Linked DNA regions of Daphnia pulex. The protein of the gene in region 2 purifies or fractionates together with the protein of the main gene of each other region. This does not show direct contact. Links are inferred from orthologs where the notes say so. Each region holds a gene or a part of one and is shown on either strand. Other genes may lie near its edges.

Region 1 (3,688 bases), on a different chromosome or scaffold from region 2:
TATATTTCACTTTATCAGGGTGACTACATAGATTTAACAATTGGAAGTATGTTTGGTATTTCTACTATGGCAGCAGCTGGAATAGGAAATGCAATATCTGATGTTGCTGGAGTAGGATCTGCTCAGTTCGTCGAGTCTTTTTCTCAAAAACTAGGAATTCCTCAACCCGATCTCGAGCCTCGGCAATATGCTTTTCGATCAACTACTTGGGCCATTAATATCGGACGTGCTATTGGTGTTGCTATAGGATGTGTGCTTGGAATGGTACCACTTTTATTTTTACCTACATCTGACAGCAAACGGCATTCAAAGGACCCTTCATCTCATTTGTGATTGGCATGTCCGATATATTATTAGTCTTATAACCTTACAAATACGTGAACCTAAAATAATTATTTAAACTCATAAAAATGACATTTTGCCGCGCAATGGCAATGGATCCTACTGCGACTTGGCAACTTTAATGTTCGATTCTTATTGTTTTGCACATTTTTGAGCATTCCGATGAACTAACGTGGAGATTCTTCACATAACAATTATTTATATTGCCCACAATTGCTGTTCAATCTTGACCCCATTATTAGAGATATAGCCAAAGAATTTTACATGTTCAATACAATATATTCTAACACTTGGTAACTCATTCACAGAAAACACAAACAAAATGGTATGCATAAGCCAGTTTATTATTAAGGATTCTCAGAGGATATTTAGAAAAACGAGATGGTTCACGCAGGCCTTGAACGCACTTGGTTGAACAGACGATCTTTAATTACTTGAGCCAGCAAACCATGAAGAGCTTCAATGGAAGTTTTTGTAGCATCACGAGCTGCTTTAGCTAGCCTATCTTCCGATCTTCTATCCTCAATGCTGGAGCCACTCACACCAACGCCGCTTCCGACTAGAGCCGCCCGTCCTAGAGAGTTTTCAGCTTGCTCAAGTTTTTCCGAAAGGTCCGATACTTGACCTGTTGTATAATCAGCATTCTAATAAAAAGAGATATTAATACTTTTTATAACATGATATAACGCTTTGAATATTTGTTCTTACTGTGGTGAGAGATGAAGAACTCAATGTGCTGACCCAGTACTTATTCCATAATGAGTCTAATAGACGGCGATCCAGAGCTGATTTAAAGTAAGAAACCTCAAGGGCATAGTACTGCTTGCAGTGGACACCAAAATCTTCAACCTTATTGAGTGGGATGGTTTGATACTCACTTGGCTCTTCATTTGGGGGTTTGTAACCCTAAGGAAAAATAAAAAGTAAACTACTCTGTACGCTTGATAGAAAAATATATCTGTTCACCTTAGGGTATGTACGGAAGGCACCAAGACACACCTTGCCAGCTGAAATAGTACGAACAGGATCTACAACAATAGCAACAAAGGGTTCCTGGAAATTTTGGTTAAGCATCTGGGTAGAAACATCAATTCCTGATAGCCAGCATCCATATCCAGGGTGTGAATGGTACCATCCAATGGCATTTTCAAGACGATTAACCTAATACTCATATTCCAATTAGTTACTTAAAAATGTGATCAAGAGCAAATGTACTTGCCTGTTTAGCTGATTCTATGTAAGCAGTCATGTATTCATAAGCCTGTGACTGAGCATTTACTCTGGTTTCTGTGCCTTCAACTGGCAGGGCAAATGCATCCATTACCACCATTGTGTTTGCATCTACTTTGCCCAAAAGCAATCCCATCACTTCTAGATGTCCTCCAGACCGAGCATGAGTAACCATTTTCAACAATGCCAAGGCTGATATACGGATCTCTTTGAAGAAATGAGGGCTAGAACATAAAACGTAAAGTTGTTAACATGACTTGATACAAAATAAAAAATAATATTACTCTTTATCCCATGGTTTAGCAGCCAACATGTCTTGCTGTTGCTTTCTATCATATCGATAAATTTCGTCAACTGAACTAATATTTTCCACATTATTAGCCATGAGCCAATTATTCAGGGCTATGTTAGATTGTGAACTCATCTTGGATGTGGAACACACAACCAATTTTACTTGAAACCTCTTTTTGCAAAAGACACTCTAAAGTCCAAATGGGGAAATTCGAACGAGGTATACCAGTGCTGAATATATCAAATCCAAACGTACAGCCGGAAACTAAATCTCATCGACTGTTGATGTCGTCTACGAGACTACGACCTACGGGTCTTGTTTTGCCTTTGGCATACTGGGAGCTGCTGGGAGAATGAAGAGGTAAAATGCGGGTCGCGGCGGTGGTAGGAACAAAGTAAAACGTAGGATTTCAGCCTCAGGGATGGATTGGACGACTGCGATTGCCTAGTCTGCTACGACTGCTACTTCAGTACTTCTGACTTCTCCTACTCCATTAGTCCATTGTCCATTGCCTCACCACTAAATCCCTATCTACTCTTTTTCCCACGTTTTACTATTTCTTACCGTGGAGTTGCCGATGCCCGATAAACAAATTCAAACTTGTTTCCAAACATGCTTTCGTTTCGAGTGTGGCAAATTAAACATAACCGTAGGAAAATACCTTGGAAATATTCATTATCTAGTTTAAATATTCTTCATAATTATAGAATACATTTTTCAACAAAAAGCCAATGCAAAGAAGAAGTATCTATTTCAAACAAATGTGTTACTATTAATCCGTGTGGTATACAAATGTTATCAAGATCTATCCATCGACAGATATTCGAAAAAGAAAACAACAATTCTGTATCTAAAGAAACGCTGTTAAAAATTCAGCAGCATTTATCAATTCACCATCTTTATGGCAAATCACCAAGTAAACTCCCAGATATTGATTTGAAGCTCCCAACTTTATTAGGAAAAAACATAGCAGAACACTTTGAAAAAATTGCTGAAAAACAATGTGGAAGTTACCGTAATAAATTGTTAGATTTGACATCACATTGCATTCCAGACATCCCTCAAGTCTGGAACTTTGCACCTGGATGGACAAGATACAACCAAAATGGAGAGATGGATCTAGTTCATTTTCCAGAAGAGGATGCATATGTCTTTGATGTGGAAGTCTGTGTGAAAGAGGGCCATTTGCCAACCCTTGCAACTGCAGTTTCAAAAAACTACTGGTACTCATGGTGTAGTAATCAGCTGTTTACTGAAAATAAGGTTTATTTTTATTTTTCTTAATACTTTTTTCACCCTATATCAATGCTTTATTATCCTACTTGACAGGTGCAAAGTTCAATTTTGAAGGATATGGAAAGTATTTATGAATTAAAGGACTTGATCAACTTGGAATCAAAAACGGAACAAGACCGTCTCCCTCTCAAAGATCAAAAAGAGCGTATCGTTATAGGACATAATGTAAGTTATGACCGTTCGCGAATAAAAGAGCAGTATTTCATCGATGGCACCAAAGTTCGATTTTTTGATACGATGGCTTTGCACATAGCGATCAGTGGCATCACGAGTTTTCAAAGAAACATGCTCCTTGCCGCAAAATCTGGTACCCCTATTGATCGTTCTCTGAAAAATCCCCAGTACTGTAATGGCAAGTCAAGAAAAACGGAAGAAATTCTAGAGTGGCAAAATGTCAGCTCATTTAACGGTTTAAATGATGTGCACAAACTTTATTGCGGAGGATTAGGTTTAGATAAAGAGAAGCGAAACATCTTTGTAACTGGTTCTCTAACAGATATTAAAGACGATTTTCAGCAATTAGTAACT
Region 2 (4,280 bases):
GGGAATGGTCTGCCGCAGCAGCAGTAGCTGAACCTCCGCTGTCCGCAGCTGTTATCAATTTCTGGAGATCTTGTGTTTTTCGTTCTCGATCTTTCTTGCGGGCTTCGATTTTCCTCAATTCTTGGAGTAGATTAGCTTCTTCCTCGACTTGTTCTGACGTACGTTCGAATAGCCTCTTTAACTGCTCTTTACGACGTTTTTCATTGTCGGCATCGTAAGCAATATTCTTTGGCTCTGGTCCTGTTGTATGCCTTGCCTTAAAAAAAAATATACAGTTATTTTTTTACTAGGTAACACAGACACAAATATCCTTTACCTTGTTTAATATGTTGCAGATATCATAATATCTCTCCTTCAAGTCTTCGATTGACCTTTTTGAGAATCGTGTACTATCCCAGCGGTCCTGAATAACGGTGAAACGAAGATCAAATTGCCGACAGAGGTCAAACAAATGATCTGTTTCTTGCTTTGTCCAATTATCAAGTTGTAGTAATTGATATTCTTGATCAGTGTAAGAAAATATATGGACTTGCTAAAAAAAAATATTTTTATATAAAAGAAATTTTCAAATCAATTAAAAAAGATGGAAATCAACCTTGTTAAATTTAGCAAATGGATACTCTTTCCCTTCATCTGCAGCTCTACGCCAATGGTGAAATACAGCTCCATCTTTCCGTGCTGGGTTAGTAAAGGGCATCCACTTCCAAGGTCTCACTTTACGGACACCTAAATGAGCTTTTGCTTGCTTGTATCCTTTACCTGATTGGAAATATTTATGAAATCTTTGGCATACAAATATTTCTTTCCCTTACTGGAAGCACACAAATTGCAGACAGACAAAGTTGTTACCTGTGTCAGTTGGAAATAGAGGAGCTGCATCTTTACTATCATTGACCAAAAGATTGAAAAGTTCTCGTGCCATTCCCTCAGGTTTACGTAAAACTTCATTTTTAGGTTTGTATTTAGGTTTCGGTTTTTGCGTTCCCATAATACTTTCTTTCGTCACTTCTGGAGTTCCCGGTCTCCCTAGCTCCAAGATATCCAAAACATCAGCCATTTTTACTTTATTCCTCTTATGCCCGACGTTTTGATCCGACACGTGTCAACACTTACGACAAGAATGTGAGTAACTTTCAAAGTTCAAACCACAAAATATTTGAAGAAAATGTCACATAACAATCGTAAAAAAAAAACGTCCACAAAGATTCACAAAAAGGACGACAAAAGCAGACACAGTTTTTTAAGCACGCTAGGTAACCATAAGAAAAGCTATTGTTGTCAAGTTTATTGAAAAATCCAATTGTGAGAAATATCATTCAATTTGTAATATGAAAATTTGCTAGAAATTTTAAAAATATTTTAGCTATAATTTTATCATTTAAATCTGTATTCTGGAGGTCTAACTTCCTCAAACAAGCAAACAATGGAATTCGCAAGAATTTTCCAAAATATTAATCTGACAACGTTTTTTTCTCAAGTCTGCACATAGAAATTACACAGAACGTGGTGCACACTTCTGCAGCAATTTCAAAGAAACTTAATTTTAATAAGGGAAGTTGTAGTTTCAGATAGACGTAACAGTTCGAAGGTGAGTTTTTGTTGTTTATAATGCAATAGTTTTTTTTTAACTTATGGTGAAGATTTGTGACCCATTGAAGTTATTCTACTCGTGTTGTGAAATTGTGATTGGGTTCCAAAAACGTCCTTTTGTGTTTCATTTTGGCGTCGATAAGTTTCAGCTAATTTGTTCTTATTTACATTTAAGTCATCCAGTATGGCGAACGACACCGTAAATCTGACTGAAATGTCAGATGTCAGTGCTATTTTGAGGTTATTTGAGGAACATCATGTAGCACCAACATTTGATCCTGTTCCCTATCTTTCTAGGTATGTGTTATTTGTTTTTTTGCAAGATTTTTTTTTTCTTAATCATGTTAATTTTTGTTTTCAAGACTGGCTGAACTTTTGGAAACAGAAACAGAAAATTACCTAAAAATGGATCCAGATCCTTTTGATGATCGTAACCCTTCTAGGAATCCAAATTGCAGCTTTGGACACATGCTTAAAATAATATTCAAGAAGGAAATTTTTATGCAAAAAGTATTATTTTCATTTACTTGGCCTTGATCTTCATTCTAAATATAAATGCTATTTTTTCATTTTTCTTAATATTAGTTAGTTGGAGACTATTTACGTGACACTTACTGGACCAGATTAGGCATTTCTACCAGAGATTCAAGGGAACTCAATACAGCTGCAGCTCGTCTTGTTCTAGATTTAATGCCAGGCTTAGAAGTATCTGTGGTGTTTCAAGACACAGAAGGATTGATCAACAGACTTTTTAGTTGGGCAGAAAAAGGTCCAGAACCACTTCAAAGCTACGCTACTGGTTTGCTAGCTGCTGCGATGGAACTACAAGACTTGGCTGCTAACTTTCGTGAGTTAAACGCTCATCTAGCACCGTTAATGTTGAAAAGGTTATGGGAAATCCAAAAGAGATGTGCCGAAGAAAAGAAAAATGACGAACTCGGAAAAATCAAAAGATTTTCAAAATTTTCAAGCGACCAACCGAGTACCTCGAGCAAAACCCCAAAGAATACGGCGAGTAGTAAGAGTCGAGCATCTTCCAGTTCAAAGGTCCCAAAGGATGAAGATGCTGAATTAATGCCTGGACCAGAACCGGCCGATGGAGCCTCCGATAAAGGAAAATTGCCAAAGAATAACAAAGCAAAGAAATTTCAAGGCAGGATTAAAGGTTCCAAAGAGAGAAAAAGTGGAAATGCATCTCTGAATGGATCAGCTATGAATGATTCTAGCAACTCGTCTTGGGCCGAAATGGAATCATACGTCATCGGTAAAAGATTATTCTCCATGCAACAAGTGTGTCTGTAAAGTTAAAAAACTAACACTTCTTACTTTATTTATAGGAACGTATCAAATGCATCCATTGACGGACTCAACTCGGCAAATCTTAATCTTGCGATATTTAACACCCATGGGTGAATATCAAGAGTTACTAGTTCACATGTTCGAGCAAAAGGCGCTCGACCTTATTCTTAACTACATCGACTTTGACGAGACCCAAGATTCGCGTTTATCGTTCGAAGCACTTAAATATCTCGGAGCACTGCTTTGTCACAAAAAATTTGCCATCGAGTTTATTCATCATCAGGGATTGCATCGCTTACTTGAAATTCCACGGCCGAGCATTGCTGCAACTGGAGTTGCCATGTGTCTTTATTACATTGCGTATTGCGAAGATGCCATGGAGCGAGTCTGTCTCTTACCAGATCACGTCATTCAAGAGCTAGTCCGATATGCTCTTTGGCTACTGGAGTGTTCGCACGAATCTGGACGTTGTCACGCTACCATGTTCTTTGGGACATCGTTTCAGTTCCGCATTATTTTGGAACAGTTTGACGCCCAGGATGGTCTTCGCCGGTTGTACAATATGATCAGCACTTTGTCAATACTTTCAATGGAAGATGCAAGTGATTTGTTGGATGATGACGAATCTCATGCTGCACGCCAAACCGTTCGACACGTCTGTGCGGCGCTAAAACGATACTTTGAAATTCATCTGGCTGGGAAAGTTGAACATCTTCAACGGATCAGAGTTCGTGAAATGGGTGGTTCTCCCCATCCGTCAACACCTCCCTACAAAGCAATCAAGCTTAATGCAGATCAAATTATCGATCTAATCACCACTGCTCAAGAACTGCTTCCGTTTCGGGCAAGTTGGTCACCCGTCAATGAATTTGTTAGCCTCGGGGGTATCCCTCTGCTTCTACAAGTTATTGCAATATCCTACCTATGGAATTTTACCGGACGTGCCGAGACTGTTCGCAGCGCTTTGGTAAAGAAATTAAATATATTCTTAAAGTTAAATTATTAAATATATTTTATTTTATTTTGCAGGATGTTTTAGCCGTTTGTTCTGTTTCTTTCAGAGTTCAGATGCTATTTTGTGATCGTATTCAAATTCCGGATGACGCCAATGCTGTAGGCATTAATATTCTACTTGGAGCAGCTGAAGGAGACATTGTAGCTGACCCCGAAGTTCAGCGTGCCGCTCTTTGCGTACTCATTCACTGCGTTTGTGCTCCCGTCCATCGAGTTGGAGGTTCTGTCGGTAGATTTAATGGCAGTGCCAAAAGACGCAGCGTGGTAATTTCAATGATATTTTCTTATTGTAGAATTTATGTATTTACGCATTGTGCTTTGTATAGGCTAGTCGAACGAGCGAAGAGGTTCTCAACCAAGTTTGGGAGTGTGTACGA

What was found.
Region 1: the proteins of DDB1- and CUL4-associated factor 1-like (region 2) and COP9 signalosome complex subunit 5-like purify together in Homo sapiens (affinity purification with mass spectrometry; 8 studies listed by BioGRID and IntAct, with this or other methods). This does not show direct contact. The link is inferred for Daphnia pulex from reciprocal best matches to the Homo sapiens genes DCAF1 and COPS5.

Annotation. Positions count from the first base shown.
Region 1 is NC_060026.1:5,023,511-5,027,198, forward strand, and holds COP9 signalosome complex subunit 5-like, read right to left. Parts: upstream 2,065-3,688; 5' UTR 1,997-2,064; coding exon 1,857-1,996; intron 1,797-1,856; coding exon 1,562-1,796; intron 1,504-1,561; coding exon 1,309-1,503; intron 1,249-1,308; coding exon 1,051-1,248; intron 987-1,050; coding exon 729-986; 3' UTR 669-728; downstream 1-668. Other genes in the region: transmembrane protein 65-like, read left to right, coding at 19-333. UniProt on the Homo sapiens protein: Probable protease subunit of the COP9 signalosome complex (CSN), a complex involved in various cellular and developmental processes.
Region 2 is NC_060022.1:4,447,087-4,451,366, forward strand, and holds the start of DDB1- and CUL4-associated factor 1-like, read left to right. Parts: upstream 1-1,459; 5' UTR 1,460-1,588; intron 1,589-1,765; 5' UTR 1,766-1,774; coding exon 1,775-1,887; intron 1,888-1,952; coding exon 1,953-2,100; intron 2,101-2,175; coding exon 2,176-2,854; intron 2,855-2,927; coding exon 2,928-3,856; intron 3,857-3,918; coding exon 3,919-4,167; intron 4,168-4,229; coding exon 4,230-4,280. Other genes in the region: mRNA export factor GLE1-like, read right to left, coding at 1-256, 317-532, 596-759, 850-1,057. UniProt on the Homo sapiens protein: Acts both as a substrate recognition component of E3 ubiquitin-protein ligase complexes and as an atypical serine/threonine-protein kinase, playing key roles in various processes such as cell cycle, telomerase regulation and histone modification.